3 linked regions of the Stegostoma tigrinum genome follow. The protein of the gene in region 2 purifies or fractionates together with the protein of the main gene of each other region. This does not show direct contact. Links are inferred from orthologs where the notes say so. Each region holds a gene or a part of one and is shown on either strand. Other genes may lie near its edges. The genes, in order: OTU domain-containing protein 1, aifm1 and ndufs5.

The links.
Region 1: the proteins of aifm1 (region 2) and OTU domain-containing protein 1 purify together in Homo sapiens (affinity purification with mass spectrometry; 3 studies listed by BioGRID, with this or other methods). This does not show direct contact. The link is inferred for Stegostoma tigrinum from reciprocal best matches to the Homo sapiens genes AIFM1 and OTUD1.
Region 3: the proteins of aifm1 (region 2) and ndufs5 purify together in Homo sapiens (affinity purification with mass spectrometry; 3 studies listed by BioGRID and IntAct, with this or other methods). This does not show direct contact. The link is inferred for Stegostoma tigrinum from reciprocal best matches to the Homo sapiens genes AIFM1 and NDUFS5.

The regions. Positions count from the first base shown.
Region 1 is NC_081355.1:119,874,898-119,886,173, reverse strand, and holds OTU domain-containing protein 1, read right to left. Parts: upstream 4,924-11,276; 5' UTR 4,528-4,923; coding exon 3,298-4,527; 3' UTR 2,493-3,297; downstream 1-2,492. UniProt on the Homo sapiens protein: Deubiquitinating enzyme that specifically hydrolyzes 'Lys-63'-linked polyubiquitin to monoubiquitin.
Region 2 is NC_081368.1:61,397,974-61,408,585, forward strand, and holds the start of aifm1 (apoptosis-inducing factor 1, mitochondrial), read right to left. Parts: upstream 4,343-10,612; 5' UTR 4,195-4,342; coding exon 4,107-4,194; intron 660-4,106; exon of another isoform or gene 645-659; coding exon of another isoform or gene 635-644; intron 1-634. UniProt on the Homo sapiens protein: Functions both as NADH oxidoreductase and as regulator of apoptosis.
Region 3 is NC_081377.1:19,978,615-19,989,158, reverse strand, and holds the start of ndufs5 (NADH dehydrogenase [ubiquinone] iron-sulfur protein 5), read right to left. Parts: upstream 4,867-10,544; 5' UTR 4,757-4,866; intron 4,734-4,756; exon of another isoform or gene 4,602-4,733; intron 1-4,601. UniProt on the Homo sapiens protein: Accessory subunit of the mitochondrial membrane respiratory chain NADH dehydrogenase (Complex I), that is believed not to be involved in catalysis. Complex I functions in the transfer of electrons from NADH to the respiratory chain.

The sequences.
Region 1 (11,276 bases), on a different chromosome or scaffold from region 2:
ATCCCCTTCCAAAACAACCCAGGCCAGCTCCTCCCTCGTGTCTTTGTACTTGTCTTTGCTCAACTGTAATACTGTTGTATTGGATTCCAGCTTCTCCTTCTCAAGTTGCAGGGTGAATCCTATCTTATTATCACCGTCCCCTAGGGGTTCCTTCAGCTGGAGTTCCCTAATCAAATCAACCTCCTTGTGCAACACTAGATCCAGAACTGCCTGTACCCTAGTGGGCTGTACCACAAGCTGGTCCAAAAAGCATCTTGTACACATTCCACAAATTCTTTTACTTGAGTTCCACGACCAACCCGATTTTCCTGATCCAGCTGCATAACCAAGTCCCCCATGATTATTGCAACTTGTTTCTAACATGCCTTTTTAAAATCTCATTTATTTTCTTCCTCTCATCCTAAATTCTCTAGAAGTCTGTATACAACTTCCATGATTGTTCCTTTACAGTTCCTCTTGCAGCAACATTGTACCTGCCAATTTCAATCTGCATTACAAACTCAATTACCTTGTTTCATATACTTAAATATGTTCAGTACAATACCTGCAGTCCTGCACTGGCTGTCCTCTCATCATAGTTGTCCCCTTATCTTTTGCAGCTGAAGTTAGATTCCTGACTGTTTTCACACTGTGTTCTATTAATTGTTGATGCAACTTCATTAAAATTTCTGCTGAACCTTCCTAGTTTAATGTTCTCCATAACTTTTTCATGCAACTGAATCCTCCACATCACCAACCCCCACCCCACCCCAAACAAAAAAACTACTACAGCTCATGAGGGGAGAAAAGGTAAATTCTTCAAATCAGGCCTTATTTATTTTATAAAGATTGTATCATTTCCTGAGAGAAATGTAAATCATAATCATTTTTATATGTTTCATACATAGGTATATATCACATTCTCAGTAATTTGCCAGGTATTCTTTTGCCTTTGGCAAGGTAACAGACCATGAGATTTATGGTTTTCATATAACTTAAGTTTGGATCTTGAAGTAGTGGCATATAGGCTTTTCTGTATGGCTGCAGAAATGAATAAGTAACTTGAGATTCTGAAGCTGTGCTATCTTCTGAAGCTTGAGGGGGCTGGTAATCAGAATACTTTTAAAAAATTGCCTTTGACATTTTGCGATTTTAATTTGTTCTTAAAAATGTACAAGTTACAGACCTTTGAGAAAGATCCTGTGACATTCACTGGTTTCCATTGTCAACAGGCCATAGAAATTCACTTTAGGTTGTAATTATCATTTAACAAACATGGTTACTCTATGGGTTCAATTGTACAACTTTAGTTGCAGTGCCTTGCAGCAAAATAAGGCGCTAAAGCTATTCTGCTTTAGTTGAGATAACACAGCATGCCAAGCAGCATCAGAGGTGCAGGAAAGCTGACGTTTCAGGCCTAAATCTTCAGAAAGTTCTATTATCTCTGCTTTAGTTTTATGGCCAATACACAAGGCAAAACAGAGGCACTACTCAGTTACCCATGGCAGTTGTTTTCCCTTTGGCCACAAAGGGCTCCAGTATTTGTTACAAGATTGATCAACATTTCAATGGAGTACATGTTGTCCAGATAGAAGTGTTATTGTTTTGTCATCTCCAAAGGTGGTTCAACTGCACTTACATAGTTGAAGAGACTGTGGAGCCACCTGACAAGCAACGAGCAAGCATTATATGTAATCAGGTTTTGGTTTAACAGCCTAGACAAAGAGCTTGCAGATACTGGGAAATTCTACTGGCATAAACTATTTACATTAATCCATTTCAGGACAAAAAAAAAATCATAGTATTATACAGCACAGAAGACTTGAACTAGCTCTTGAAAAGCTATCCAATGAACTTCACTTGCCTGCACGTTCCCCCTCACCTGTAACACTGCTTTGCAAGCATACACCATTTCCCATTGGTAAACACAACTGAACCTCCTTCCATATGCTTTCAGAGATACTCTCTGAAAGCATAAAATCATAACTTACTTCCTAAAAAGCTACTTATTGTAAGTTAATGGCAAAGTACATGACATTGAGTGCATTCAGACTACAGTATACTTTATAAATGTTGCACTTTATGTACTGGGTTTTGTACAGTAGTTACCAGCTGGTAGTTGAAGTGTTGATTTAATAGTTTCATGCACTACACAATATGCAGAAAAATTACCCCACCAATTTTTAAAATCGGTAGCTGGTCCATGTGGTAGAGATGCTCAGAGTAACCAAGCTGAAGGTTTCTCCTCCATTCTTTAGATTTATTAATAATTAGTGTAGCCTGTTCAAAAATATCATCCAATTTTTAAAAACGTCTTCTGGTTTGAATAATCTAATTACCAACTTTTATTGGCATTGAAACTTGAGGTTTAATTAGAGAGAGTTTAAACTCGGTACACACATATAGATTGAGCTTTGCAGAATATTAAAGTGATATTTTACTGGAGTGTCATAATCAAGGCCCTCTGCTTCTGTTAAGAACAGGAGTATGAAACATTTAGTCTCTGACAGCTGTTTGTGAAATGTTATATAGTTTTAATTCATTCCATGTTGATTAATAACTTCACAATCAATACAAATACAGTAATTGCAAACTGGTTACAAGTTTGACCCTGCAAACCACTTTTGGATGTCAATACATCTTGGACAGCGTATAAAAGTCAGTGAAATGGCAAGAAACAGACAGTAATAACGTTAGTAATTGTAGCTAAACTTTAAAAGATCTAAAATCTCTATTCTAACCAATTAGAAAAATCAAGGTGGCAATTAGCTACCTGCCAGAATACCAAATACAAGAACGTAATGAAGGAGATATGACAATAACAAACCAGCAATTGCAAAAAATTGCAATAAAACATCTTTAAAAAAACCCCATTCAGAATAAAAACTCTCCAAAGCAGAGATTAAACATCAGTTGCTTTCCAAACATCAGAAGATTAAGATTTTAATTAAAAAAAACACATGCTTAATGAGACAATGCAGTCCCATTCAATCCTATGGTCTCTTATCTGCAATAAGCCTGATTTAAAAATTCAGGTGCCCCGCAACCTTCATTAGTTTGAGCTCAAACATTTGGTAAAACATCTAGGTATTCACACATTTAATTAAGGCATTACTTAGAGTTGATTTTATGATCCATTTTAAAGTGCTGTTAGCCCAATCAATGTGTAAGCATATAAATAAATAAAAACCATATTAACAATCTTTACATTTGTACTTCTTACTAGCCTTGCTCATATCAGTTTCATCAGCTTATGCAGGGAATCTTAGGTCCTGATCTGAAATGTTTATGAATAGTACTGCTTGGGAGGAAAGTCATTTAAAAACAGCCATTTTGCTCAATGTACATTTTTGAAAGAGAAGCTGCCATGGACTTTGCTAATTCTTCATCTCGTTTCCTCTGAACATGTGTTTTTGTGCACCAGGTTTCATACTCTGGATTAGGTAGAGACTGATCAAACACAGCGTCGTAGTGTCCATTGCTCAACCAACTCAGCCATATGCTGGATTTTGATTGATCTTCTGGGCCAAGACAATGCACCATAGTGGAAACTGTTGGGCTTTCCAGGCTACCCCCTGTGGTCAAGTATATGTTAATGTTCAGCATTTGACTCATAGTAAGCAGCTCTGGGTAACCAGCCCAGGCTCCATCCTGGGCAGCGTTGATTAAAAACTCCCCAATGTCCCCTTCGATGATGGGGTTAAACTCGTCCAAGTGATCTGCGATGTGATGGACAGTTTCTTCTCTCAGTTCCTTGTGCATGTTCTGGTCACCGTATACAGCTTTACTGACGGCCCTGTACAAACAGTTGCCGTCTGGAATAATATGGAACCGGTATTTTTGTCGCTCCCGCAGGTAACTATTTTGCTTCTCCACTTCTGCCAGGTAACGAGCCACTTTGTCGTTTCTGTCCGCCTTGTTCTCCACCACCAGGTCCACGGTCCTGAAGCCACCGTCGAATTCCCAGGCACTGCTGCTGCTCTGTTCAGCCGCCTCCGTAGCCCGGGACTCGGGACCCGGCCCGACCCAGTCCTGGTACTCCCGCTCGGTGCTGTCACCATCCGGCGGGTTGAAGGCGGTCTCCGGCCCTTCCGAGGCGGGCTGTAAGTCCGTCACTGCCCGCTCTTGCTGGCCATCGCCCAGGATCCGGGCTGAAGCCTTCCGCGATCCTTCCGTCAGGATGTCCTCGGTCCAGACACCCCGTCCCTGATGGCCCGGCACCGGGGGCTCGGCCTGCGTTCTGTCGCTCAAGATCTGGATCGGCACCATCCTCTCGAGAGGCCGCAGGGGAATCCTGGCGGTGGAAGTATAGAGGAGCGAGGCCGGAGACGGAGCCGGGCCCGGGGGCAGCAGTTCGCATGACGAGAAGGCGGGCATGGCGGCGGTGGTGGTAGAGGAGGAGGAGGAGGCGGCAGAGGAAGAGGCGGCGGTGGGCTCAGTCTTCACTCCGAAACTCGGGCCCTCGACAGGCGCTTTCTCCGCCGCTGGAATGGAGACTTTGAAGGCGGTGCCGGGATAGTGCGTTAAGACGCTGCTGTAATAGTGCATGTCGCAGCTGCGGCCCCTTTTATAGCGGCCTCGGGCTGATGATGGTAGTTAAAAATAGCGGCTGTCATCACCAGCTCCCGGTACAGCCTAAAGCCGCGGATACGAGGAGATTGGACACAGGCTCCGACACCTCGTTCACACCCTCCCGCCGGCCGCTCTAATTGCAACTGCGACACTCAGGCCTAACTTGATCCCCATTACGTCAGCGCCGCTCCACTAAAGACGGGAGATTTCTCCGCATAAAAGGTGCATCGTTCAGGCCGAGACCTTTCTGGAAAGCACTCGGCTTTTTTTTCCCCGTTTCCTCCCCTGGTCCCTCCCCTTTTGGGCGGCCTGCACTCGTTTACTGCCAGTCGTTGTCTCAGCATGCTGGAATGTGAGCGCCAGAAACGGGGGGGCGGGGGGGTTGTGGCATAACCGCCCTCCGCCGGACTACCCCGGGTCAATCACCGCCAGTTCCAAATCACTTCAGGCCACTGCCACCCCATCTTCAGTGCTAATCCTCTCCCCTTCAATACTCCCTCTCTCTTAACCCTTCCCCCAGGCTTCTTGTCCTGTTTCCATCCGTTTTTCTGTTCTCTCAACTCCTCCCTTCCTACTACTTCTTCTAGACTTTCAGACCCTCCATTCCCACCTTTTTTCGGTCTCTAAAACCCACCCGCCCCACGCCCGCCCGTGTCTCTCCCTTCCGGTCTACACCAACCAACAGCCATCCATTTTGCTGTCTCCTGCTCCCCCACCTTCCCATTCTCCTCCAGTTTCTTTATGCCATTCACCTCTTATCCAGTTTCCTAACCTAGTAATCTCCTCATGCATCCCACCATCTTTTGCATCCTCTCCTGGTCGCACCCCAACCGAGCACTAATCTCTCCACAAATACCCAACCCCCACTCCTCTTAAAGATCTATCCACCATTTTGCCTCACACTATCCCTCTTCAACACAACTGCTTCATTTCTGCCCTAAGGTGTTAGGTCCAAAGTTGTGGCGACAGGTAATCTGGGAACTTGATGACTGAGGGGCCAATAATGTATCACTATAATAAATAGGATTAAAGGATTGAGGAATAAACAGGAAGTCTGAACCAGCTGAATTCAATGTCAAATCAGGTACAGAAAGAGGAATCCATGCACCACAGGAAATATAGTACATTATTTCCCCCTCCAATTCGATTTTGATTTAGTCCTCTTTCCCCATCCCAAAACACTCACCCCCTCACTTTTTGATGTTAGCATTGCCCTTAACAGGCTTTGCTTGTAAATATTCAATTGGCCGCACTGAGGAAAAAATGTTGTGTCCCTGGAAAAGAGAAATCCAGAAGAAAGGAAAACTGGATGGACAGACAGAAATGACAGGCAGATGGGAAATATAAGATATTTTAGACTATTTTAAAAACAACAGCAATTGGAAAAATTCCTGAGTAATGAGGATCAAAATATTTTATTGTTAATTTCCAAGTCGTAGAGGTTGATTGGCAATCACTAAAATGGTACATTTGTCTTTCTATGAGAACAAGGTATAGAGCTGGATGAACACATCTGGCCAAGCAGCCTCACAGGAGCAGGAAAGCTGACCTTCCAGGCCTAGACCCTTCTTCAGAAATGGGGAAGGGGGTTCTGAAATAAATAAGGAGCGAGGGGGAGGCGGACAGAAAATGGATAGAGGGGAAGATAGGTGGAGAGGAGACAGACTGGTCAAAGAGGTGGGGATAGACCAGTCAGGGTGAATGTAGGTGGGGAGGGAGGGACGAAACAGGTCAGTCCAGGGAGGACGGACAGGTCAAGGGGGTGGGATGAGGTGAGTAAGTAGGAGATGGGGATGGGGATGGGGATGGAGGTGGGCGGGGGGATAGGTGGGAGGAAGGACAAGTTAAGAAGGCTGGTAGAACTGGGCTGGTTTTGGGATGCGGTAGGGGGAGGAAAGATCTTGAAGCTTGTGAAGTCCACATTGATACCACTGGGCTGCAGGGTTCCCAAGCAGAATATGAGTTGCTGTTCCTGCAACCTTTGGGTGGCATCGTCGTGGCACTGCAGGAGGCCCAGGATGGACATGTCGTCTGCGGAATGGGATGGGAAGTTGAAATGGTTCACAACTGGGAGGTGCAGTTGTTTAGTGCAAACCAAGCATAGGTGTTCTGCAAAGCAGTCCCCAAGTCTCCACTTGGTTTCCCCAATGTAGAGGAGGCCACAACTGGAACAGCGAATGCAGTATACCACATTGGCAGATGTGCAGATGAACATCTGCTTCAGGTGGAAAGTCATCTTGGGGCCTGGGATGGGGGTGAGGTGTGGCGGCAGGTGTAGCAATTCTAGCGGTTGCAGGGAAATGTGTCGGGTGTGGTGGAGCTGGAGGGGAATGTGGAGCAGACAAGGGATTCACAGAGAGAGTGGTCCTTCCAGAAGGCAGATAAGGGCTGGGAGGGAAAAATGTCTGGGTTGGATTGCAGATGGCAGAAGTGTCGGAGGATGATGCGTTGGATCCGGTGGTTGGTGTAGTGGTATGTAAGGACGAGGGGGATTCTGTTTTGTTTTTTATTGTGAGGAGGGGTGTGACGGATGAGTTGTGGGAAATGCGGGAGACACGGTCAAGGGCGTTCTCGACCACTGACAGGGGGGAAGCTGCAGTCCTTGAAAAACGAGGTCATTTGAGATGTATGGGAGTGGAATGCCTCATCCTGGGAGCAGATGCAGCGGAGGCGAAGGAATTGGGAATAGAGGATGGCATTTTTTGCAGAAAGGTGGGTTGGAGGAGGTGTATTCTAGATATCTGTGGGAGTCGGTAGGCTTGAAATGGATATCGGTTTCTAGGTGGTTGCTGGAGATGGGGAGAGAGAGGTATTAGAGATGGTCCAAGTGATCTTAAGGTTGGGGTGGAAGGTGTTGGTGAAGTGGATGAACTCACGGGAGCACGACGTGCCGCCAATTGTCATAAATGTAACAGAGGAAGAGAGAGGGATTAGGGCCAGTGTAGGTACGGAAGAGAGATTGTTCCATGTATCCTGCAAAGAGGCAGGCATAGCTTGGTCTCATGTGGGCACCCTTGGCCACCCCCTTTGTCTATAGAAAGTGGGAGGAATTGAAAGAGAAGTTGTTGAGGGTGAGGACGAGTTCGGCTAAACTGTCCTGACTTTAATGTGCAAATCCAGTGATGTTATGAAATTCCTTGTAAGTGGGAGGCATTGCTTTCACTAAGCAATTTTAGGTGATTCACAGTTCAAGGATTATCTATCAGCACAGGTTGCGGGGCCATTTGCTCATTGGTATGCATTATATAAATTTGTCATAACTCAGTTCAGTAATGTATTAAAATGGTGTAAAACACAGGACAAAAACAAAGTTGCTAGTAAAGTTCAGCAGGTCTGGCAGCATCTGTGAAGGAAAATTAGAGTTAATGTTTCGGATCCGGTGACCCTTCCTCAGAACTGACGGTGGCTGGGAAAATGTCAGTTTATATGCAGAATAAAGGGGAGAGGGATGGGGTAGAGAGTGAACAATAGGAAGAGAGAAAAGACCAGTTGGACAGACAAAGGTGAAAATGATCAGTCTGGGAGGGTGAATAGTTGTTAATGGGGACTATTAGTGACCAATAACAGGTAGTATGTAATGGACGGCTGTGTGGTAACAAGGCTTGGTGTGTTGGCATAGGGGCTGGGACACGGGAGAGTTTAGGCCCTAAAATTATTGAACTCAAAAAAGTTCTGAAAACTTAAAATGGAGTACTCCATTTTAAATGGTATCCTTGCACAGGACATCTGGGGCGAAAGCACAAATGGTTAAAACTAGCCATTAAGCCATTTTTCAAGGGGTTATTATGAAATTACAGAAGAATGAAAAGGTCTGATGAAAACATATTGAGAGTCTGGTTTTGAAAGTGATATTTTACAGCATTGTTGTTTCATTGTTGGAGAATTATTAAGTTCACTTTTGCTGGAGCGGCACTTACAAACTTGTCTCAAGTAAGTGAATCCCATCAGTGGTTAAAACAAATCTGTAACAGAAACAGAGCTACAAGAGGATGGGCTGATTTCTGCCTTTAGGTATTAGCTGCTTCTGTAAAATTCAAACAAACTACTACAGATGCTGAAGATCTAAAATCAAAACGAAAGCTCTAGATAAATTCAGCAGGCCTGATAGCATCTGTGGAGAGAGAAACAGAGTCAACATTTTAAGTTTGATATGACTCTTCCTTGGAACTCGATCACTTCTAAATATTTTAGAATTGTTACCTAAAAAACATCAATGGTATATAGCACTTGATTCTTTGGTACAAAGTCATTCAAATAATTCAAGAACAAAAACAAAGTTGCTGGAAAAGCTCAGCAGGTCTGGCAGCATCTGTGAAGGAGAAAACAGTTAACCTTTTCGGTCTGCTGACCCTCCCTCGGAACTGAGGGAGTTCTGAGGAAGGGCCACCGGACCTGAAACGTTAACTCTGTTTTCTCCTTCACAGATGTTGCCAGACCTGCTGAGCTTTTCCAGCAAGATAATAAAGTGTGAAGCTGGATGAACACAGCAGGCCAAGCAGCATCTCAGGAGCACAAAAGCTGACGTTTCAGGCCTAGACCCTTCATAACTGTTTTTGCTCCTGATTTACAGCATTTGCAGTTCTTCTGGTTTTCATTAAAAGAATTGTTCATAACTTCAAATAGGTTAAAGAAAGATGCTCAGGAGTTAAAGCAAATCAATTAGGACATTTACAAGATCACAATGTTTTGGGGCGTTATGTTTAAGTATGGGTAAACATGAAGGGGTCATGTGACCTGTGTTGAAGTATAGTTGACAGGCCTGGGTGATATAGGACTGTTATAGGATCTGTTCTGGGTCCTCCTTCTATTTGTGATTTTTGTAAATGATTTGGATGTAGGAGTGGAAGGGTGGACTAGTAAGCTTGCAGATGATATGAAGGTGAGTCGAATTGTGGATAATGCGGAGGGCTGCTCTAGGTTACAAAAGGACACTGATAGGATGCAGAGTTGGGCTGAGAAGTGGCAGATGGGGTTTAAACCTGAAAAGTGTTTGCCTCAATCTACCCTGATTGAAATGTTCTCAAAAAAACTCTAGTCAGATAGGAGATAATGGGAACTACAGATGCTGGAGAATCCGAGATAACAAAGTGTGGAGCTGGATGAACACAGCAGGCCAAGCAGCATCTTAGGAGCACAAAAGCTGATGTTTCGGGCCTAGACCCTTCATCAGAAAAGGGGGATGGGGAGAGGGTTCTGAAATAAATAGGGAGAGAGGGAGAGACAGATTGCAAATGGAAAGAGGAGAAGATAGATGAACAGGAGAGTATGGGTGGGGAGGTAGGGAGGGAGGTCAGTCTGGAGAGGACGGGCAGGTCAAGGGGGCAGGATGAGGTTAATAGGTAGGAAATGGATGTGCAGCTTGAGGTGGGAGGAGGGGATAAATGAGAGGAAGAACAGGTTAGGGAGACGGGGACAAGCTGAGCTGGTTTTGGGATGCAGTGGGGAGGCGGGGAGATTTTGAAGCTTGTGAAATCCACCCTGATACCATTAGCCTGCAGGGTTCCCAAGCGGAATATGAGTTGCTGTTCCTGCAACATTCGGGTAGCATCATTGTGGCACAATCATCGTCTGACACTTCCATCATCTACAATCCGACCCCACCACCAAAGACATATTTCCATCCCCACCCTCGTCTACTTTCCATAGTGACCACTCTCTCCTGGTCTCCCTTGTCCGCTCCACACTCTCCTGCAACCCCAAAACACCCGGCACTTTCCAATGCAGCTGCAGGAAGTGTTACACTTGCACCCACATCTCATCCCTCACCCACATCCCAAGCCCCCAGATGACTTTCCACATCAAGCAGATGTTCATCTGCACATCTGCCAATGTGGTATACTGCATCCCTGTACCTGTTGTGGCTACCTCTACATTGGGGAAACCAAGCGGAGACTTGGGGACCACTTTGCAGAACACCTATGCTCGGTTCGCACCAAACAAGTACACCTCCCAGTCACGAACCATTTCAACTCCCCCTCGCATTCCTCAGACGACATGTCCATCCTGGACCTCCTGCAGTGCCACAACTATGAAGGATGAGATTTCTGAATACTTGGATGTGCACGGCATCATCAAGGGGAGGTCATGCCTGATAAATTTGTTCGAATTCTTTGAGGAAGTAATGAGCAGGTTGGACCAACGAGAGCCAAGGGATGTTAACTACCTGGGCTTCCAGAAGGCCTTTGACAAGGTGCCGCACAGGAGACTGCTGAGTAAGATAAGGGCCCACGGTTTTAGAGGCCAGGTGCTAGTATGGATAGAAGATTGTTTTCTACCAGAGAGCCAGAGTGTGGGTTTAAAAGGGTCTTTATCAGGATGGCGGCTGGTAACAAGTGGTGTTCCACAAGGGTCAGTGTTGGGATCACAACTTTTCACTTTATACATTACTGATATAGATGAAGGAACTGAGGGCATTCTGGCTAAATTTGCAGACAATACCAGGATAGATAGAGCGATAGGTAGTACTGAAGATGTGGGGAGGATGCAGAAGGATTTGGATGAGTTAGGAGAGTGGACAAAAAAGTGGCAGATGGAATACAACATTGGAAGGTGTGAGATCATGCACCTTGGTAAGAATTGAGGTATGGACTATTTTCTAAATGGGGAGAAAATTCAAAAGTATGAAGTGCAAAGAGACTTGGGATTTCTAGTCCAGCATTCTCTCAAGATAAACTTGCAAGTTGAGTCAGTAATTAGGAAGGCAAATGCAACCTTAGCATTTATTT
Region 2 (10,612 bases):
TAATCCTAAAAGAAGAGTTCCTGCAAGTTGGGAAACAGTAAGTTTAATGCCACTTCGTGAAAGGAGGGAGGCAAGATTAAGCAGGTCAGGCCTATTCTCAGTGGAGTTTAGAAGAATGAGAAGTGATCTATTGAATCACAAGATTGTAAGGTCACTGGGCATTGTAGATACTGAGAAAACTGCCCCCATAGAGGAATTGATAAAAGGGGGCATAGTTGCAAAATAATATGTTGTTGATTTAAGATGGAGATCAGGGGGAATTTCATTTCTCAAAGAAACATGATTCTTTTGGAAATATTTACTTAAAGAGCTGAAGGATTACGTGAGAAACACTGATTTTTCAACTAACAACCAATGGTCGTAGACAATAAAGGATGAAACAGCAATTGACACAAAAATCAGATGATCATTGATATTACTTAGTAGTGGAGCAAATTTAAGGTGAATATGGGTCCACCACTTCTCACATTCTTTTGTAATTGTGAGAAAATGTCTAGAATTGATCACTTAACATAAAACTAATGAGCATTTAGCACTGTTTTTGAAAGGGCCCTTGACTGTATCCATCTCATTTCCACATTTCTGCTTCACCCTTTTCCATCCCTCCATGACTCTACGTTTCTCTTGTCCTTACCTTCTACCATTTTCAATAGGTCATTCTCCAGATTTCATGCAATTCCTGTAGCACACCACCACGCTTTTGCTCTGCCCACCATCTTGATCATTATTGCAAAGTGAGTAGTCCTTCTGCAACAGAGATAATGGGAACTGCAGATGCTGGAGAATCCAAGATAACAAAAAGTGTGGAGCTGGATGAACACAGCAGGCCAAGCAGCATCTCAGGAGCACAAAAGCTGACGTTTCAGGCCTCGACCCTTCATCAGACAGGGGGATGGGGGGAGGGTTCTGGAATAAATAGAGAGAGGGGTAGGCGGAATGAAGATGGAGGGAAAACAAAATAGGTGGAGAGGAGACTATAGGTGGGGAGGTGGGGAGGTAGGGAGGGGATAGGTCAGACCAGGGAAGCCGGACAGGTCAAGGAGGTGGGATGAGGTTAGTAGGTAGGAAATGGAGGTGCGGCTTGAGATGGGAGGAAGGGATGGGTGAGAGGAAGAACAGGTTAGGGAGGCAGAGACAGGCTGGGCTGGTTGTGTGATACAGTGGGGGGAGGGGATGAACTGGGCAGGTTGTGGGATGCGGTGGGGGAAGGGGAGATTTTGAAGCTGGTGAAGTCCACATTGATACCATTGGGCTGCAGGGTTCCCAAGTGGAATATGAGTTGCTGTTCCTGCAACCTTCGGGTGGCATCCTTGTGGCACTGCAGGAGGCCCATGATGGACATGTCATCTGAAGAATGGGAGGGGGAGTTAAAATGGTTCACGACTTGGAGGTGCAGTTGTTTATTGCAAACCGAGCGGAGGTGTTCTGCAAAGCTGTTACTGAATCCATTGTACCCGGTATGGTTTCCTCTACATTGGGGAAACCGAGCGGAGGCTTGGGGACCGCTCTGCAGAACACCTCAGCTCGGTTCGCAATAAACAACTGCACCTCCCAGTCGCAAGCCATTTTAACTCCCTCCCATTCTTCAGATGACATGTCCATCATGGGCCGCCTGCAGTGCCACAAGGATGCCACCCGAAGGTTGCAGGAACAGCAACTCATATTCCGCTTGGGAACCCTGCAGCCCAATGGTATCAATGTGGACTTCACAAGCTTCAAAATCTCCCCTTCCCCCACCGCATCCCACAACCAGCCCAGTTCGTCCCCTCCCCCCACTGCATCACACAACCAGCCCAGCTCATCCCCTCCCCCCCACTGCATTCCAAAACCAGCCCAGCCTGTCTCTGCCTCCCTAACCTGTTCTTCCTCTCACCCATCCCTTCCTCCCATCTCAAGCCGCACCTCCATTTCCTACCTAACCTCATCCCACCTCCTTGACCTGTCCGTCTTCCCTGGACTGGCCTATCCCCTCCCTACCTATCTTCTTTTCTCGCCATCTTTGGTCCGCCTTCCCGTCTCTCCCTATTTATTCCAGAACCCTCTCCCCATCCCCTTCTCCGATGAAGGGTCGAGGCCTGAAACGTCAGCTTTTGTGCTCCTGAGATGCTGCTTGGCCTGCTGTGTTCATCCAGCTCCACACTTTGTTATCAGTCCTTCTGCAACAGCTTGATGCACTCTTGACACCATCAACTGTTTCCATGGCACACTAACCAGTGTATACACCAATCCACTAGTGAGAGGAACATACTAAACTGCTTTGCAGGACATCTTTATTCAGTCTGCCAGTGTAATCTTGAGTGCCTGCTTGCCTGCCTTCTTAATTCTCTCCCTCTCCACCCTGAGCCTCTTATATTGATCACATGAAGTTCAAAGGGCATCTCAATGAAGACAATCTCATTTTTTGATTAGACATCTTCAACATGTTGGGCTTAACATTAAATTTAACACTTTCACACCATAAACACTGCCCATAATCATTAATCCAAATATCATGGGCTGGTGATCGTTGGTTTCACTACCACTCTTTTGCCTTGGTCATTGTCTCTTCTGTCGTTTCATCCCACCACAGAGATGTACAATACAGAAAAAGGTTCTTCATCCCATCGCATCTGCCACTTAACCAGTCAAAAACAAACAAACAAACAAACAAACAAACAAACAGTCAGTCACTTCACCATTCTAATCCCATCTTATAGCGCTGAAAAACAGTCATCTGGACTTGAAACATTAGCTTGCTCTCTCTCTGTGGATGCTACCTGGTCCACTGTAACTTCTAGAGTGTTTTTTTGTTTTCAGTACAGGTTCCAGCATCTGCAGTAATTTGCTCCCACTTTCTGGGGATTGGTGTACATACACATCTCAATCCCTCTGATCCTTGGCACTTGCCAGTATCCTCATTCATGTGTTCCCTTGCCTTGTTTATACACCGCACAGTTACCCAGACTGAATTCCATTTGCCCCTGTTTAACCCATTTGACCAGTTTCTTTACATGTAAGGCTATCCTCCTCACCATTTATCACCCCAATTTTTATATTACATAATCTTAATGACCAACCCTCCTACATTCAACTCTAAATCATTTATATAACGTACAAACAGCAAGAGTCCCAAAACCAAACCTTGTTCAGCCCCACTTGACAGATTTCCAGTCAGAAAAACAACACAACTTTCTACTTCCTGCCATTCAGCCGAGCATCCAATTTGCCAAATTTCCTCAGGTGCCATGGGTTCTAAGCTTTGCTACCAATATTCCATGCAGGACCTGATCAAAAGTCTAGCTGGCGTCCAAACATACTGCATCGAAAACACTGCTCTCATCGACACCTTCACAGAAATTGATTTTTGTCCCTACCTTCCTCACTTTCTAGCATCTTCACGTACTTTACGGTTGTATTTCTCGCCGGCTTTGTCGACAAGTTATGGACCTAAATATTCTAAATAAAGGGTCTCGGCCTTCCTGTTCCTCTGATGCTGCTTGGCCCGCCGTGTTCATCCAGCTCTCCACCTTGGTATCTCGGACTTAAACGTTAATTCTGTTTCTGTGACCTGTTGAGCATCTTGCTTTTGATTTAGCTCTCCGGTCTCGGCAGCGATCTGCTTTTGCACCACGTTCAGGAAGATTTTTGCACGGAATGCGACTTCCCGGTTTATAGAGTTGCTCTTGGTGACACTGACCTTGGACCAGTAAAGAAAGTGCCAACTGCCAAGGCGAGACCTATACAGCTTTCGTAAAACTAACGGCTGTACCTGATTTGGAGAGGGGGGGGGTCAAAAAACACGGACACATACCAAAGAATAGTATTTTCTCGGGCAGATCCGCTCGGCCAGTTAATGCTTTGTGAACAATTGCGAGAAGAAGCAGTTCAAGGCACAGCCTGCAACTTCTGGTTTGTGACCTACCAGTGAAAGCCAAGGTGAACAGCAGGGTGCTCAGGGCACATACTTGGACGAACGGGACAAGTAGTGGGGAAGGGAGGGAAAGGGCCCCCAAAAGCAGAAAGTTTATAGCCTGCGGGGTTTCCCACGACCTTGGCCCCGGCGACGAGAGCTAAACCCGCGGCCTACAGCCAGCTGTCCGCCAAACCGTCCCCTCGTCCCACCTCACCTCGTTTCCTGGCGCTACCCCTCACTAGCACCGACGCCGCTCTGCTCAGCGGCAGTAGCGTCTGCCATGTCGCCCTGGTCCGCAGCATGGTTCCGGCTCGATCGGTCAGTCAATCTCGTTACCCCGCCATCATCCACAACACACGCCCCCAACCGCTACAAAGAAAATGCCGTCTCGCACCCCCTCACAAACTTCAGCCGGCCCTCCGTCTCCGCGCAGGCGCCGATCAGACACGTCGGCGGCAGCACCCGCCCGCGCTCTCACCCCCTAGCGGCCGGCAGAGGGAAGATGTCAACAGTCGTCGAGAGGCAGCGGGAGAAGAGAAGAGCTTCCGCTCCCCCCCTTCCCCAAAAGAATTGAGATACTGTCGATTAGAGACGTTGCTGGAAAAGTTTAACAGATCCTGGCAGCGTCTGTGCAGAAGAAAAATCGGAGTGAACGTTTCGGGGTCCGGGATAATAGGAACTGCAGATGCTGGAGAATCCGAGATAACAAAAGCGTAGAGCTGGATGAACACAGCAGACCAAGCAGCATCTCAGGAGCACAAAAGCTGATATTTCAGGCTTAGACCCTTCATCAGAGAGAGGGATGGGGAGAGGGTTCTGAAATAAATAGGGAGAAAGGGGGGAGGCGGATCGCTGGGTCAGTACGGACAGGTCAAGGGGGCGGGATGAGGTTTGTAGGTTGGAAATGGAGGTGTGGCTTGAAGTGGGAGGAGGGGATCGGTGAGAGGAAGAACACGTTCGGCAGGCTCGGACCAGTTGGGCTGGTTTTGGGATGGATTGGGGGGGATGGGACATTTTGAAGCTTGTGAAATCCACATTGATACCATTCGGCTGCAAGGTTCCCAAGCGGAATATGAGGTGCTGTTCCTGCAACGTTATGGCACTGCAGGATGTCATCTAAGGAATGGGAGGGGCAGTTGAAATGGTTTGGGACTGGGACGTGCAGTTGTTTATTACGAACCGAGCGTAGGTGTTATGCAAAGCGGTCCCCAAGCCTCTGCTTGGTTTCCCCAATGTAGAGGAAGCCACACCGGGTACAATGGATACAATATACCACATTGGTGGATGTGCAGGTGAACATCTGCTTGATGTGGAAAGTCATCTTGGGGCCTGGGATAGGGGTGAGAGAGGAGGTGCAGGGGAAAGTGCTGGGTGTGGTGGGGCTGGAGGGGAGTGTGGAGCGGACAAGGGAGTCGCGGAGAGAGTGGTCTCTCCGGAAGGCAGACAAGGGTGGGGTTGGAAAAATGTCTTTAGTGGTGGAGTTGGATTGTAGATGGCGGAAGTGTCGGCGAATGATGCGTTGTATCCGGAGGTTGGTGGGGTGGTATGTGAGGATGAGGGAGATTCTCTTTTGGCACTTATTACCGGGGCGGGGTGTGAGGCATGAAGTGTGGGAAATGCGGATCTCCTTTCTCACCCCCATCCCAGGCCCCAAGATGACTTTCCACATCAAGCAGATGTTGACCTGCACATCCGCCAGTGTGGTATACTGCATCTGCTGTACCCGGTGTGGCTACCCCGCGGAGGCTTGGGGACCGCTTTGCAGAAAACCTCCACTTGGTTCGCAATAGACAACTACATCTCCCAGTCGCAAACCATTTCAACTCCCCCTCCCATTCCTTAGATGACATGTCCATCCTGAGCCTCCTGCAGTGCCACAAGGATGCCACCCGAAGGTTGCAGGAACAGCATCTCATATTACTCTTGGGAACCCTGCAGCCCAATGGTATCGATGTGGATTTCACCAGCTTCAAAATCTCCCCTCCCCCCACTGCATCCCAAAACCAGCCAAGCTCGTCCCTGCCTGCCTAACCTGTTCTTCCTCTCACCCATCCCTTTCTCCCACCTCAAGCTGCACGTCCATTTCCTACCTACTAACCCAATCCCGCCCCCTTGACCTGTCCATCCTCCCTGACTGACCTATCCCCTCCCCATACTCTCCTCTCCACTTGCCTTCTCCTCTATCCATCTTCGGTCCACCTCCCCCTCTCTCCCTAATTATTTCAGAATCCTCTCCCCATCCCCCTTTTCTGATGAAGTGTCTCGGCCCGAAATGTCAGCTTTTGTGCTCCCAAGATGCTGCTTGGCCTGCACAGTTCATCCAGCTCCTCACTTTGTTGTTTCGGGGTCTGGTGTCCCTTTCCTCAGAACGAGTATTTTCCCCAGTGCCGGGAACTGACTGCAATCAGGGGTACTGCAGGGATGAGTGCTTGGACAACCACCTCCCCCCACCTATTCATAATAAACGTTCATGATTTAGATGAGGAAACTAAATGTCCAGGTTTGCAGACAACACGAAGGCTGGGTGGGAGGGGGAACTGTGAGGCGGATACAGAGATGCTGAAGGGTGATTTGGACAAGGTGAACTGAGTGGACAAATGCACAGCAGCTCACGTACAACGTGGGACAATGTGAGGTTATCAACGTTGGTGGCAAAAACAGATTTTCATCTGAATGGAAGATTGGGAAAGTGTGAGGAGCAACCAGATGCCAGTCACTGAAAGTAAGCATGCAGGCATGAGTAGGAAGTGAAGAAAGCAAGTGGTCTGTTGGCCTTCATGGAGAGAAGATTGGAGTACAGGGGCAGAGATCATTTTTCTTTAACATTGTTGACCTAAGAGAAGCTGGTGCATTTGATGTCTGCTTTTATGCCTAACGAGACAGCATCTTTGGCCATTTCCCTGGCAGCATAAGGTGGACAATCCTCTAGATCTCCTTGACTGAGATGAGCTGGTGCTTGTTATACTGAATCACGTGCAAAACCTCTGAGGAGACACACTCAATCATTTGGACAACACGGGAGTTCTTGACTTTCATGGTTTTAGATGAAATTCTGATTGAAAGTCGGCCCAGATCTCTTCTAGTACATGTAAGTTGGGAAAGGGCTGCTTGGTGCTCAGTGGTTAGCACTGTGACCTCACAAAAACTAGGGATCTGCGTTCAATTCCAGCCTCAGGCGACTATCTGTGTGGAGTCTGCACATTCTCCCTGTGCCTGTGTGGGTTTCCTCTGGATACTGTGGTTTCCTTCTACAGTCCAACGATGTGTTGGTTAGGTGGATTGGCCATGCTAAATTGCCCCTAGTGTCCAGGAAAATACGTGCTAAGTGGATTAGCCATGGGAAATGCATATTTACAGAGATAGGATAAGGGTGTGTGTGTGGTTGGATAGCTCTTTGGAGGGTCACTGTTGTTTTGATGGGCCAAATGTCCTGTTTCCACAATGTAGGGATTCTATGATTCTATGAATAGCTTTGTTTCCAAGACTTCCTCCACTTCTTGTATGGTTTCTTAATGACTTTATTACACAACTATTTTGTTGCCTTTCAGGACACAGCACCCTTTGCCACAGCTCTGACTCATGCACGATGTCATATTTCACAGGAGGAGTGATGTCTTGCTGCAGTACAGGGCCTTGGTAAAACCGTATCGGCAGTATTGCATGTAGTTTTGGTCTCCTCTTCTGAAGAAGGATGTTCTGACTATAAAGGTAGTTCTTTGAAGGTTTACCAATATAATTCCATGGATGGGAGGACTGATTTCATGCTGGATGGATTATGACGATATTCACTGGAGTTTGGAAGAATGAGGGGAATCTTATCGGAACCAACACAATTCTAACAGGATTTAGCACAAATGCAAAAATTATGTTACCAATGACTGTCAAGTCTAGCACCAGGAGTCACAGTTTAAGGCCATTTTGGTCTGAAGTGAGGAGAGGTTTCTTCATCCAGAGAGTGGTGAGCTTATGAAATTCTTTGCCACAGGAAACATCTGAGGCCAAAACATTGAAATATTTACAGGAGGATTTAGATATTGTTATTGGGGCTAAAGGAATCAAAAGGTATGGGGAGAAATCAGAAACAGGGTATTGAGTTGGATATCAGATGTGATCATATTGAATGCTGGAGCAGGCTTGAAGGGCTGAAAACCTTACATCAGCTCCTAAAGGGCGGCGATGGCTTAGAGGTATTATCACTGGAGTGTTAATCTAGAGACCCAGATAATGTTCTGGGGACCCAGGTTTGAATCCTGTCATAGCAGATGGTGCAATTTGAATTTAATAAACGTCTGGAATTAAGAATCTAATAAAGAGTGTGAATCCAATGTTGACTGTTGCAGGAAAAAAATTCATTTTTTTCACTAATGTTTTTTAGGGAGGGAAACTGCCATCCTTACCTGACCTACATGTGACTCTAGACCCACAGCAATGTGGTTGCCTCTAAACTGCCTTCTAGGCAATTCAGGATGAGCAATAAATACTGCCTCACCAGCAATGCCCTCATCCTATGAATGAATAAAGAAAAAAATGTTGATGTTCTTCTGTTTCTGTATATTCTAAAAATAAGTTGAAAAGCATGAGTAAAAATGGACTCATTCTGAATGACAATTTTTCACAGAAAGTACTTTATGTTAGTTTATGCCCACAAACACCATTTTTAAAATTCAGTTGTTGGACATGCCCATTGTTGGCTGTTTGACTTTTATTGCCTTCCTGGTTACCCTTGACAGGGTGATTGTGAGCTGTTTTCTTCAATTCATGTACTGTCCATAGACCCAAAATGCCCTTAGGGAATTCCAGGATTTTGACCCAGCAAAAGATGATGCCGAAAGTTTAATGTTACATTTATCAGGACAAATCAGTACACCAAATTTCAATGACCAGATCAATTGAGACTGAAAAAGTTGACTCAGATTGGCCAAAGCACACCATGAAGGTTCAAGGCCTGAATCTATTACTTTTGCTGTCATTTAAGTAAAAAATTGTTTAAATGACTTTGAAATGTGATTATTGCCTTGAAATCATTTATAAGGTCAGAATTGTACAGCACAGAAACAGACCCTTTGGGGTACAAGTTATCCGTTGCTGACCAGATATCCTGAACAAATCTAGTCCCATTTGCCAGCATTTGGCCCATATCCCTAAACCCTTCATATTCATTGACCTGAGTTAGTAGGAACTGCAAGTGCTGGAGAATCTGAGATCACAGGTCTAGGCCCGAAATGTCAGCCTTCCTGCTCCTCAGATGCTGCTTGGCCTGCTGTGTTCATCCAGCTCTACACCTTGTTATCTCATATTCATTGACCTATCCAGATACCTTTTAAATGCTGTAATTGTACCAGCCTCCACTACTTCCTCGGCAAGCTGGTTCTGCACACACTCATCAGCCTTTGTTGAAAAAGTTGCCACTAAGGTCCTTTTGAAATCCTCCTCCTCACGTCAAATCTTCGCCCTCGAGTTTTGTGACTCCACCGCCCTGGGAATAAGACTTTGTCTGTTTACTCTATCGATGCCCCTCGCGATTTTAGAAACATCTATAAGGTCATCCCTCGAGCCTCCGACGCCCCGGGAAAAATAACCGCAGCCGGTTCAACCTCTCCTCAAACCCTCCAGCTCTGGCACGATCCTTGTAAATCTTTTCTATGCATCCATCCAGTATTTTTTGTCACACAAACTGATCTCATCATTGCTCTCTCTGTCTCTCCCTCGATCGTACCCTGGTATTGCTCTTGGTATGGCCATAACATGGAGATATGGTAATACAGTGGTAAAGTTAACAAATGACTAAAACAGTCGTGCAGATTAACTGATAATAAAATGTGAGGCTGGATGAACACAGCAGGCCAAGCAGCATCTCAGGAGCACAAAAGCTGACGTTTCGGGCCAAGACCCTTCATCAGAGAGGGGGATGGGGAGAGAGGGGGAGGTGGACCGAAGATGGAGAGTAAAGAAGATAGGTGGAGAGAGTATAGGTGGGGAGGTAGGGAGGGGATAGGTCAGTCCAGGGAAGACGGACAGGTCAAGGAGGTGGGATGAGGTTAGTAGGTAGATGGGGGTGCGGCTTGGGCTGGGAGGAAGGGATGGGTGAGAGGAAGAACCGGTTAGGGAGGCAGAGACAGGTTGGACTGGTTTTGGGATGCAGTGGGTGGGGGGGAAGAGATGGGCTGGTTGTGTGGTGCAGTGGGGGGAGGGGACAAACTGGGCTGGTTTAGGGATGCAGTAGGGGAAGGGGAGATTTTGAAACTGGTGAAGTCCACATTGATACCATTAGGCTGCAGGGTTCCCAGGCGGAATATGAGTTCCTGTTCCTGCAACCTTCGAGTGGCATCGTTGTGGCAGTGCAGGAGGCCCATGATAGACATGTCATCTAGAGAATGGGAGGGGGAATGGAAATGGTTTGCGACTGGGAGGTGCAGTTGTTTGTTGCGAACTGAGCGGAGGTGTTCTGCAAAGCAGTCTCCAAGCCTCCGCTTGGTTTCCCCAATGTAGAGGAAGCCGCACCGGGTACAATGGATGCAGTATACCACATTGGTAGATGTGCAGGTGAACCTCTGCTTAATGTGGAAAGTCATCTTGGGGCCTGGGATAGGGGTGAGGGAGGAGGTGTGGGGGCAAGTGTAGCATTTCCTGCGGTTGCAGGGGAAGGTGCCGGGTGTGGTGGGGTTGGAGGGCAGTGTGGAGCGAACAAGGGAGTCACAGAGAGAGTGGTCTCTCCGGAAA
Region 3 (10,544 bases), on a different chromosome or scaffold from region 2:
AGCAGCAAGTCCATTGGCAGCCAACTAGCTGCACATCTGCCAGAAGACCTGGTGGGCCCCCTCATGTTAATGCCTGGCAGGTTTCTCTTCTGGAATTTCTTTCACTTTCTGACTTAAATCTAAAAACAGGGCTGTTTATAGTTACTGCTCCCAGACAAAGATCCTTCAGCTGCTGATGATGACAAAGGCCCTGGCCAAGGTTCAGTGGAGGGCCACTGGAACAATACTTTGTTCAAAGGTCTTCAGTTATGACTAGGCCTAAAAACTGTTTTTAAAAACAAACACCTGGATAGATTAAAATTTTTAAAATAATGAAAGGATTAGAATTGGCTTAGGTGGACATGTGGAACAATCTACATAGATTAAGGAGACCAGAATAAATAAATACACGCACAAGCAGAAGGAAGCAATAGGTTAAATTTTAGTAAATAATTGTTTTCACAGTGACTAACTTACAGAACAAGGTGCAGCATATCACAAATACAGCTGATCCCTAATTGGCTTAGAGCCACGCTCTTGAGCAACTACAGACCTCGGGGTGGAGGCATCTGCACTGCTGTTGGGAAATGAATTCCGGGACTTTGACCAGATATACTGGCGTAAGAGTAACACAACATCAAGTCAGGCAAGAATGTGCAGGATTCCTAGTTTCCGGGTCTGTAAAGGTTTTTTTTAGGTCATTGAAGATCCTTAGTGTGACTCTGCAGTGCATCTTGTAGTTGGCACTCCCTGCTGTCACTGAGCAGTACATCTAAGGGCGGTATATCTATGTGATGTGTTATTGGGAAAATGTATCACCTAATCACTGGGCGTGTTAATTTCCAGGGCTCCTTTTAACAACAGGGATACTGTTGTTCTTCAACTCTTTGTAACCATATTGTAATTTGTTTGTCATTTACACATCTATTCTGTAAAGGTATTACAATCTTGTTGCATTTGGTCACATTCTTTCTTTGTATTAACCACTGCTACAATTTGGCATCCTCTACAAGTTTTGAAATTGGATTTCAGAATCCATTGTCCACATGCTTAAACAGGAAATGGCTAGTTCAGACCCAAATCACGCCTAGCTTCTGCCAGTCTGAAGAAATATCTTTAACCTTCATACTGTTTTCTCATTAGCTTACCAACTTCATATACTTACACTGCAGACAAACATCTACCACATTGTACCTTAGCAATCCAAGTGTGTGGCATCCACTGCATTATTGAACTACTCTTATTACTGTTACTCTTAGTTTTAAAGATATCAAGTGGTTAGCACTGCTGCCTCACATTTCCAGGGACCTGGGTTCGATTCCAGTCTCAGGTGACTGTCTGTGTGGAGCTTGCACATTCTCCCCATGTCTGCATGGGTTTCCTCCCACAGTCTAACAATGTACATGCGAGGTGGATTAGCCATGCTAAGTTGCCCTGTGTTCAGGGATGTGTAGATTGAAAGGGGGATGGGTCCGGGTGGATGCTCTGAGGGTCAGTGTGGACTTGTTGGGCCGAATGGTCTGTTTCCACATTGTAGGGATTCTATAACAACATCTATAAAGTGGCCTACGGTTTCCAGAGCTCACTGGGCCCCACTATCTTTCCAAGTTTACCTTAATGAAACCATCCAGCACTGTCTTTCAGTTAATTGATTTTTTAAAAAAAAAATTAACTAAACCACCTCCTACACTTACAGCCTCTTCACCTTTCCAACTCTCAGCAATCAACATTCTGGGCGCTCTCACTCTGTCTCTCTTTAAAACTGCCATATTCCAACACACAAGAGCAGAAATTCCTGGAGAAACTCAGCAGGTCTGGCAACATCTGCTGGAGAGAGAGATCAGAGTTAAAGTTTTGGGCCCAGTGACCCTTCCTCAGACAAGTTGTCCGCAGGTGATAATGGGAACTGCAGATGCTGGAGAATCCAAGATAACAGTGTGGAGCTGGATGAACACAGCAGGCCAAACAGCATCTTAGGAGCACAAAAGCTGATGTTTCCGGTCTGGACCCTTCATCAGAGAGAGGGGGATGGGGGTGAGGGTTCTGGAATAAATAGGGAGAGAGGGGGAGGCGGACCGAAGATGGAGAGAAAAGAAGATAGGTGGAGAGGAGAGTATAGGTGGGTAAGTAGGGAGGGGATAGGTCAGTCCAGGGAAGACGGACAGGTCAAGGAGGTGGGATGAGGTTAGTAGGCAGGAAATGGAGGTGCGGCTTGGAGTGGGAGGAAGGGATGGGTGAGAGGAAGAATAGGTTAGGGAGGCAGAGACAGGCTGGGCTGGTTTTGGAATGTAGTGGGGGGGAAGGGAAGAGCTGGGCTGGTTGTGTGGTGCAGTGGGGGGAGGGGACGAACTGGGCTGGTTTTGGGATGCGGTGGGGGAAGGGGAGATTTTGAAGCTGGTGAAGTCCACATTGATACCATTGGGCTGCAGGGTTCCCAAGCGGAATACGAGTTGCTATTCCTGCAACCTTTGGGTGGCATCATTGTGGCACTGCAGGAGGCCCATGATGGACATGTTATCTCAAGAATGGGAGGGGGAGTTAAAATGGTTCTTGACTGGGCGGTGCAGTTGTTTATTGCAAACTGAGCGGAAGTGTTCTGCAAAGCGGTCCCCAAGTCTCCGCTTGGTTTCCCCAATGTAGAGGAAGCCACACCGGGTACAGTGGATACAGTATACCACATTGGCAGATGTGCAGGTGAACCTCTGCTTAATATGGAAAGTCATCTTGGGGCCTGGGATAGGGGTGAGGGAGGACGTGTGGGGGCAAGTGTAGCACTTCGTGCGGTTGCAGGGGAAGGTGCCGGGTGTAGTGGGGTTGGAGGGCAGTGTGGAGCGAACAAGGGAGTCACAGAGAGAAGAAGTGGGACTGTCCCATGTATCCTATAAAGAGGCAGGCATAGCTGGGGCCCATGTGGGTGCCCATGGCCACCCCCTTTAGCTGTAGGAAGTGGGAGGAATCGAAAGATATTCCCAAACCCCACCTCTTCCTCCGTTACATTGATGACTGTATCGGTGCCACCTCTTGCTCCCCAGGGGAGCTCGAACAGTTCATCTACTTCACCAACACCTTCCACCCCAACCTTCAGTTCACCTGGGCCATCTCCAGCACATCCCTCACCTTCCTGGGCCTCTCAGTCTCCATCTCAGGCAACCAGCTTGTAACTGATGTCCATTTCAAGCCCACCGACTCCCACAGCTACCTAGATTACACCTCCTCCCACCCACCCTCCTGCAAAAATTCCATCCCCTATTCCCAATTCCTCCGCCTCCGCTGCATCTGCTCCCACGATAAGACATTCCACTCCCGCACATCCCAGATGTCCAAGTTCTTCAAGGACCGCAACATCCCCCCCACAGTGATCAAGGACGCCCTTGACCGCGTCGCCCGCATTTCCCGCTACACATCCCTCACACCCTGTCCCCGCCACAACTGCCCAAAGAGGATCCGCCTCGTTCTCACACACCACCCCACCAACCTCTGGATACAACGCCTCATCCTCCGACACTTCCACCGTCTACAATCCGACCCCATTACCCAAGACATTTTTCCATCCCCACCCTTGTCTGCTTTCCGGAGAGACCACTCTCTCAGTGACTCCCTTGTTCGCTCCACACTGCCCTCCAACCCCACCGCACCCGACACCTTCCCCTGCAACCGCACGAAGTGCTACACTTGCCCCCACACCTCCTCCCTCACCCCTATCCCAGGCCCCAAGATGACTTTCCATATTAAGCAGAGGTTCACCTGTACATCTGCCAATGTGGCATATTGTATCCATTGCACCTGGTGTGGCTTTCTCTACATTGGGGAAACCAAGTGGAGGCTTGGGGACCGCTTTGCAGAACACCTCCGCTCAGTTCGCAACAAACAACTGCACCTCCCAGTCGCGAACCATTTTAACTCCCCCTCCCATTCTTTAGATGACATGTCCAGCATGGGCCTCCTGCAGTGCCACAATGATGCCACCCGAAGGTTGCAGGAATAGCAACTCATATTCCGCTTGGGAACCCTGCAGCCATATGGTATCAATGTGGACTTCAGCTTCAAAATCTCCCCTTCCCCCACCGCATCCCAAAACCAGCCCAGTTCGTCCCCTCCCCCCACTGCACCACACAACCAACCCAGCTCTTCCCCTCCACCCACTGCATCCCAAAACCAGTCCAACCTGTCTCTGCCTCCCTAACCGGTTCTTCCTCTCACCCATCCCTTCCTCCCACCCCAAACCGCACCTCCATCTCCTACTAACCTCATCCCACCTCCTTGACCTGTCCGTCTTCCCTGGACTGACCTATCCCCTCCCTACCTCCCCACCTATACTCTCTCCACCTATCTTCTTTACTCTCCATCTTCGGTCTGCCTCCCCCTCTCTCCCTATTTATTCCAGTTCCCTCCCCCCATCCCCCTCTCTGATGAAGGGTCTAGGCCCGAAACGTCAGCTTTTGTGCTCCTGAGATGCTGCTGGGCCTGCTGTGTTCATCCAGCTCCACAGTTTGTTATCTGAAGGTGACTCTGGTTTCTCTCCACAGATACTGCCAGACCCGCAGGGCTTTTCCAGAAATTTCTGTTTTTATTCCCGATTTCCAGCATCCGCCGTTCTTGCGGTTTTCTGCCACATTTCTCACCTTCAGCAAGAACTCTCCTCCAACTGCCGCCACCACCTCCTTGGCTCCCCCAGATCCTGCCACCCTCACCCTGCTTGCGTTACCCCTTCCCCACCGCCCACACCCCTTCCTGCCCTCTGTTCCTTCGATCCTGACCGCCCAGGCCTCTCTCTCACCTCCCAAACGTCCTCTGCTCTTCCGCGCACGCAGCTCCACTTGTCGGCCTGCCGTAAAACAGGAGCGCGATTTACCATTTTCACCCTTCACCGCATGGAGCTCTGCTGCCCCCTGGAGCCGGAGCGCAGTCGCACACTGCGAACTGCTCTGAACCCAAAGTGCGCAAGTCAGTGGATCAAGGAGAAGGTGTCAATTGGTCCCGTGGAGTCGTTATTATCTTTATGATCATAACGTTAGATTTACAGCCATGCTGTGGTTTTGATGTTCATTCATTCATTCGTGTGTACTGTGAAGGAAAGGTTTTTGAATTGTCTGCTGATGCTGCATTCTGAGCTAGATGTGTATTGTAGTTTTTGACAGTGGTGGCTTGCCATTGCCTTCTAATCTTGGGGTGAGGATGTTATTGTCTCGCTGAGTCAGAACATGAATCACATCCATCACCATTGGTGTAATTTTGAAGCATAAGTAAGAACCAGGGGTAGGAGTCAGTCACTGAGCCCGTCACGCTTGTCTGTCATTTCAGTATAATCTCCCCTTGGCCCCAACTCCATTTTCCTCCCTGCTCCTCAAGCCTATTAACCCAAAAACAACTAAAAATCTGTGTCTCCTCCTTAAATTAATCCTGCATCTTGGCATCTACCACATTCTGTAGTAATAAATTCTATAAATGCACGACCCTCTGAGAGAAGAAATTCTTCCTCATCTCTGTTTTAATTCTGCCACCCCCAGCCTAATAGAGCAATTAGGAACTGGAGTAAACAATTCAGCTTTTTGAGCCCACTCCACCAGTAAACATGATCATGGCTGATCTTATCCTTGTCCCAACTCCACTCTCCTCCCTGCTCCCCATAGCCCTTTATACTGTTTTTCATCTGAAACATATCTATTTCTTTCATTAATCTGTTGATTGATATTGCCTCCACTGCACTAGAGACCGTGAATTCCACAGATCCACAACCCTCTCAGGGAAGTAGTTTCTCCCCATCTTAGTTTTGAACCAACCTTCTCTCACTCTACATCTATCGCCTCTTGCTTGAGACTGTCCTACACGGGGGAGCTTCTGATCAATATCTACCTTATCAATCCCCTTTAGCGTTTTATACACCAATCAGACACGACCTCATTGTTCTGAAGTCCAGTGAAGATAAGCCCTAGCTATTCAACTGCTCCTCTTACAATAGCCCTTTCATCCCTGGAATCAATCTGGTGAGCATCGTCAGAACCGTCATGACATCCTTCCTGAAGTAAGGAGACCAAAATTGGACACAATACTCCAGGTTTGGGTTCACCAACAGCTGCCAGCTGAGGTTGAGGTGACCATCTGGGTCAGTGCAGTCTCAGCCATTTCAGAAATGTCCAGCAGTGTGTGAAAAAGGGCGGTAAATTTCTGTCTTCATGCAGGCTGAGTGCTACCATCTTCTCTCTGCCACCTCACCCCTCATTGTATCTCTTCTACTGTACCCACCAAGGTTCGTGCTCTACCTCTTTCGCCATTACACCCAACATTTTTCCTCGCTAGCTCTCACCCAGCCCAACCCCCACAGCAGTAACTCCACATGGCCTCTGCACTGCTTACTGCCCACTCAGTCAGCACGCCTCACTGCTTTCTACCACCTGTAGCCAACAGCTGGAGCATTCAGCTTGCATCTCACTCAATCCCTCCCTTTCTCTCATTACAGAAGAAAACAGCCCATGGTAAGGCAGAAAGAAGCAAAATAGCTGGGTGGTGTGTGACATTCTGTTCTTCATCCCTGCAATACGGAGGATCATGACCATGTCCACTCAAGTGACAAATCGACGCTGCCCAAGGCCTTGCGATTGATATTGAAGACTGCCTTTGACTTATGTGTTGGAAATTCCTGACTGAAGGTTGTCTCCCTTGATTTGAATGAGAACTACTCCTCTTAGACTTCAAGATATGTCCATTTGTTTGAGGCACGCGCAGTATGTTTGGTGCAAACACTACTCGACACTTCCACTCCCTTTACTGATCATTGCTGACCACCATGGCAGACTGCCTGGCCTTGTGTCTGAGTTAAAAGGCAAGGCAAGACAGAAGGCCTGTGAGCCTGTTGGAGCTAACTGAGCGGCAAAGTGCAAAAAGGTGAGGCAATGCAAAGCAGAGATGCTGTCAGCATCCATGTAACCTCACAATATATGAACTCAGAGTATGAGTTAGTAGCCAGCCTTGTTCAATCCACAAACTAGGTGCCTAGTCAAGCATACAGTTTCCTGGCAGTAGTATTCTGATGAAGGCTGGCCGTGTGCTCCAAAGTGTCATGTATACTCAATAAGTATCATGAAAAGTTTATAAGGCACCAATTACAGCGCTAACTTAGATACAAAAGTACCTAGGCATAGCTCCTTTAGTTACAGGATTTTAGACAATACAGAAGTAAAATGTCCCAGCATTATAGAAAGGAGTTCAGGACAACAGACCATGTTGGCACTGAGCTTTCAGCCCACACTGGGCTTGGCTCCACACTGCGCCGGTGACATGTCATGCCAGGAGGCTACTGAAGGAGGCTGGAAAGTTGTCATGCCATGCTGGGAGACTCCCGCACCAGGCTGAGAGATTCTGACTGATCTATCCATCCCTACCACAGAGTGGAGATTAGATTAGATTACATTAGATTAGGTTTCCTACAGTGTGGAAACAGGCCCTTTGGCCCAACAAGTCCACACCGCCCTTTGGAGCGTCCTAACCAGACCCATCCCCCATAACACACACACCCCTGTACACTATGGGCAATTTTGCATGGCCAATCCACCTAACCTGCACATCTTTGGACTGTGGGAGGAAACCCACGCAGACACGGGGAGAACGTGCAAACTCCACACAGACAGTTGCCTGAGGCTGGAATTGAACCCAGGTCCCTGGCGCTGTGAGGCTGCAGTGCTAACCACTGAGCCACCGTGCCACCCCCAAGATGCTTCCCAAAGCACCCGACTGCACTTGACAAATAACTGCATTTTGTTTAAAAATGTGACACTGACCTCTAGGCCTGAAACGTCAGCTTTTGTGCTCCTCTGATGCTGCTTGGCCTGCTGTTTTCATCCAGCTCTAAACTTTGTTGTCTCGGATTCTCCAGCATCTGCAGTTCCCATTATCCCTGACCCTGACCTCCCTTGGGTTACAAGATCCAGTTTCTTTTGTGTAAAACTTTGTCAAGGGTGCAAAGGATGTCATTTGTAACATTCTCAAAATGGTCAAGCAGGATTAAACTTTCTAAATCTGTGCCAGCTGTTACTTATAAAGCTATTAATATCGAGGCGTCTGTCCAGTCTGTTTCTGAATATAGTTCCAGTATTGTTCTTACTGTTGATGTAAGGCTAATGTGGTTGGAAGTACCTGGGTTTGATTTATTTCCTTTCTAAATATAGGCAGTATACTCATCAGTCTACTATTCACATAAATCAATGACATGTCGTTTCAGATAAAGCTTTCAAGGCAACTGTAGTCGCATTTCATACATACCTATTGCTTTAAATACAGAAACCTATTTCTTGAGGCAGAAAACATTAGCTGACAACATTTCTTGTCAATGATTGTTGCCCAGGGATAAAGATTTGACTGGAAATTATCATAGTATGATGGTGGACTCCTCAATATTTTAGCGTGTTCCAGCTTTGAGAGATTTTATTGTCTTCTGTGAATAATCTGACTCAAGACTCTTGCAAAATCAGTTGAATCCAAGCAGAATTGGCCAAACAGTTGCAAAAGATCAGAGAATTTTCAATGTTGGTTACATTTAAAACCACTTACATTAATGTTTTCTGTAACCCACGCCTCAAGATTCAAGGAGCTTGGATTAGGCCTCTATTGCAAAGGCTAGATCAAAATTTCAAAATATGGATGATTCAGGAAAGTTCTTGAAATCTGATCAAATTTCTTCAGTGTACAGGCATGAGTAGTTCTACTTTAGATATTTTTTCTCGTCACAAAATGTGTAATTTACAAAGAGACTGAATGGTGTGCTCTAATCAGATAATGAAAGTGTTCAGTATACTTTTAAAATAATTTTCAGTCATTTTAAATTGGGGACTTACAGCTGGTGGAATGAACACCCTAAAATAATCACTTTGGTGTTAAACCAGTTTTCAGTCAAATGATTAAACTTCACCTGGTTATCACTCTAAAGTAACCTAAGGAATACATCTTATGGAAAAAGTATGATTTCTTTCTTATATGCTGCCTAATTGTGGGGCTTCATTGAAGATCTTTGTTTGTGATTATGCAAATTAATGTTAACAGAAAGTTAAACTGCAACTTGAGCCAATGTAATGTCAAATATATTTTGACTGCAATTTCCCTCCTGCACTTAATGTGGGAAGACTATCCAAATACACTTATCAAGTAAAGTGGAATAAGTAGGCTTTGAAGAGTTTGCCAAACTGTACTCTGTACAGATGAAGATAACATTTGAAACATGGAGCTGGTCTGCATGTTCTTATTGACTCTTGTAGGCAGACTTTAGGTTTTATGTGAATTGGGGTCACATGTCCAAACAAAACAATATTGATAAACTTTAAAAATGAATCTCGATTGCTACAAAATATTATGAGAGTATGAAAAGCATTATGTAAATGTAAGGTCTTTCTCTGGTTCAACTTTTAAATCATTCTTTTCTCAAAGTGATGGTTCTCTTCATTGCACTACAGCATCAGTTGTTAGCATTTTAAAACTTACATCTTATTAATTCCATTTTAATGCAGTCTCAGCTTATCCGGATGCATGGACAATTCCTCCCAATTCCTCTTAAACCAAATGTCATCCAATGAGTGAAAAGCAATAACAGTTCCTTATAACCACCACAATGGGGCAGCAGACAAACACGTTCATGACTACACAAAGTGACAAAACTTTTCATATGAATTTGACAATTGCTTGCTTTTACCGTTTTAAATAATAAATCTAAATTAGGATGGAATCTTATCTTGTGTCTCAGATTGAGTGAATTAATGGATTGTCATAGTGTGTTCTATTTCTCCCAGTTTGTCTACTTCTCTCCTCCAAGGGGCCATACATCTTATCCCACAGAATGCGTTCACCAATTCTGCTCTGCAATCAAATAAAAGGAGGTGTCAGAATGTAGTATCCAGCCATTTGGCTTTTCTTGTCCCCCAGTGCCCTCCCAAAGTGCTACCCTCTTAAAGACAGTCACCTATTCTGTGGCAGAACAAACTGTAGAAAGGGTTTAAACAGCAAAATACTCCCTTACAAACTGGGACCATAACGTCCGTAATTCTTTACAGATGTCAGTCTTTAGCAAATTTGATTCACTCCATATAATATCCACAAACAGGCTGAAGACACTGGATGAAGTAAAGGCTATGGCCCTGACAACTTTCAAAAATAGGACTGAAGATGCGGGCTCCAGAACATAGTGAACTCCTATCCAAGTTGTTCGAGTACAACGACAATGTGGAAAATTTCCCAGAAAAATCTTGTATGCAAAAAACAGAAGAAGTCCAACCAGCCCACTTGCTGCCCCATCAGTCCACTTTTGATCATCAACAGAGTGAAGGGTGCCCCCCTCACTTACATGAACATAGCCAGAGAAGAGGACCAAACAGTCAATAGAAATGACTCTCTGCTTTCCCCTCCTACTGCCCACTGCCTGGGCATGAGTCTGCTTTATATCTTTGTTGTCCTTTTTTTGTTTTCTCTATCTGGAAGTGCACCTACATTCAACTGAATGGCTTTATCACCATCAAATCACCATGACTTTTTTTTTAGATATTAACTGCCACTAGAAAATCACCTGTGCTTCACTTATATGCAAA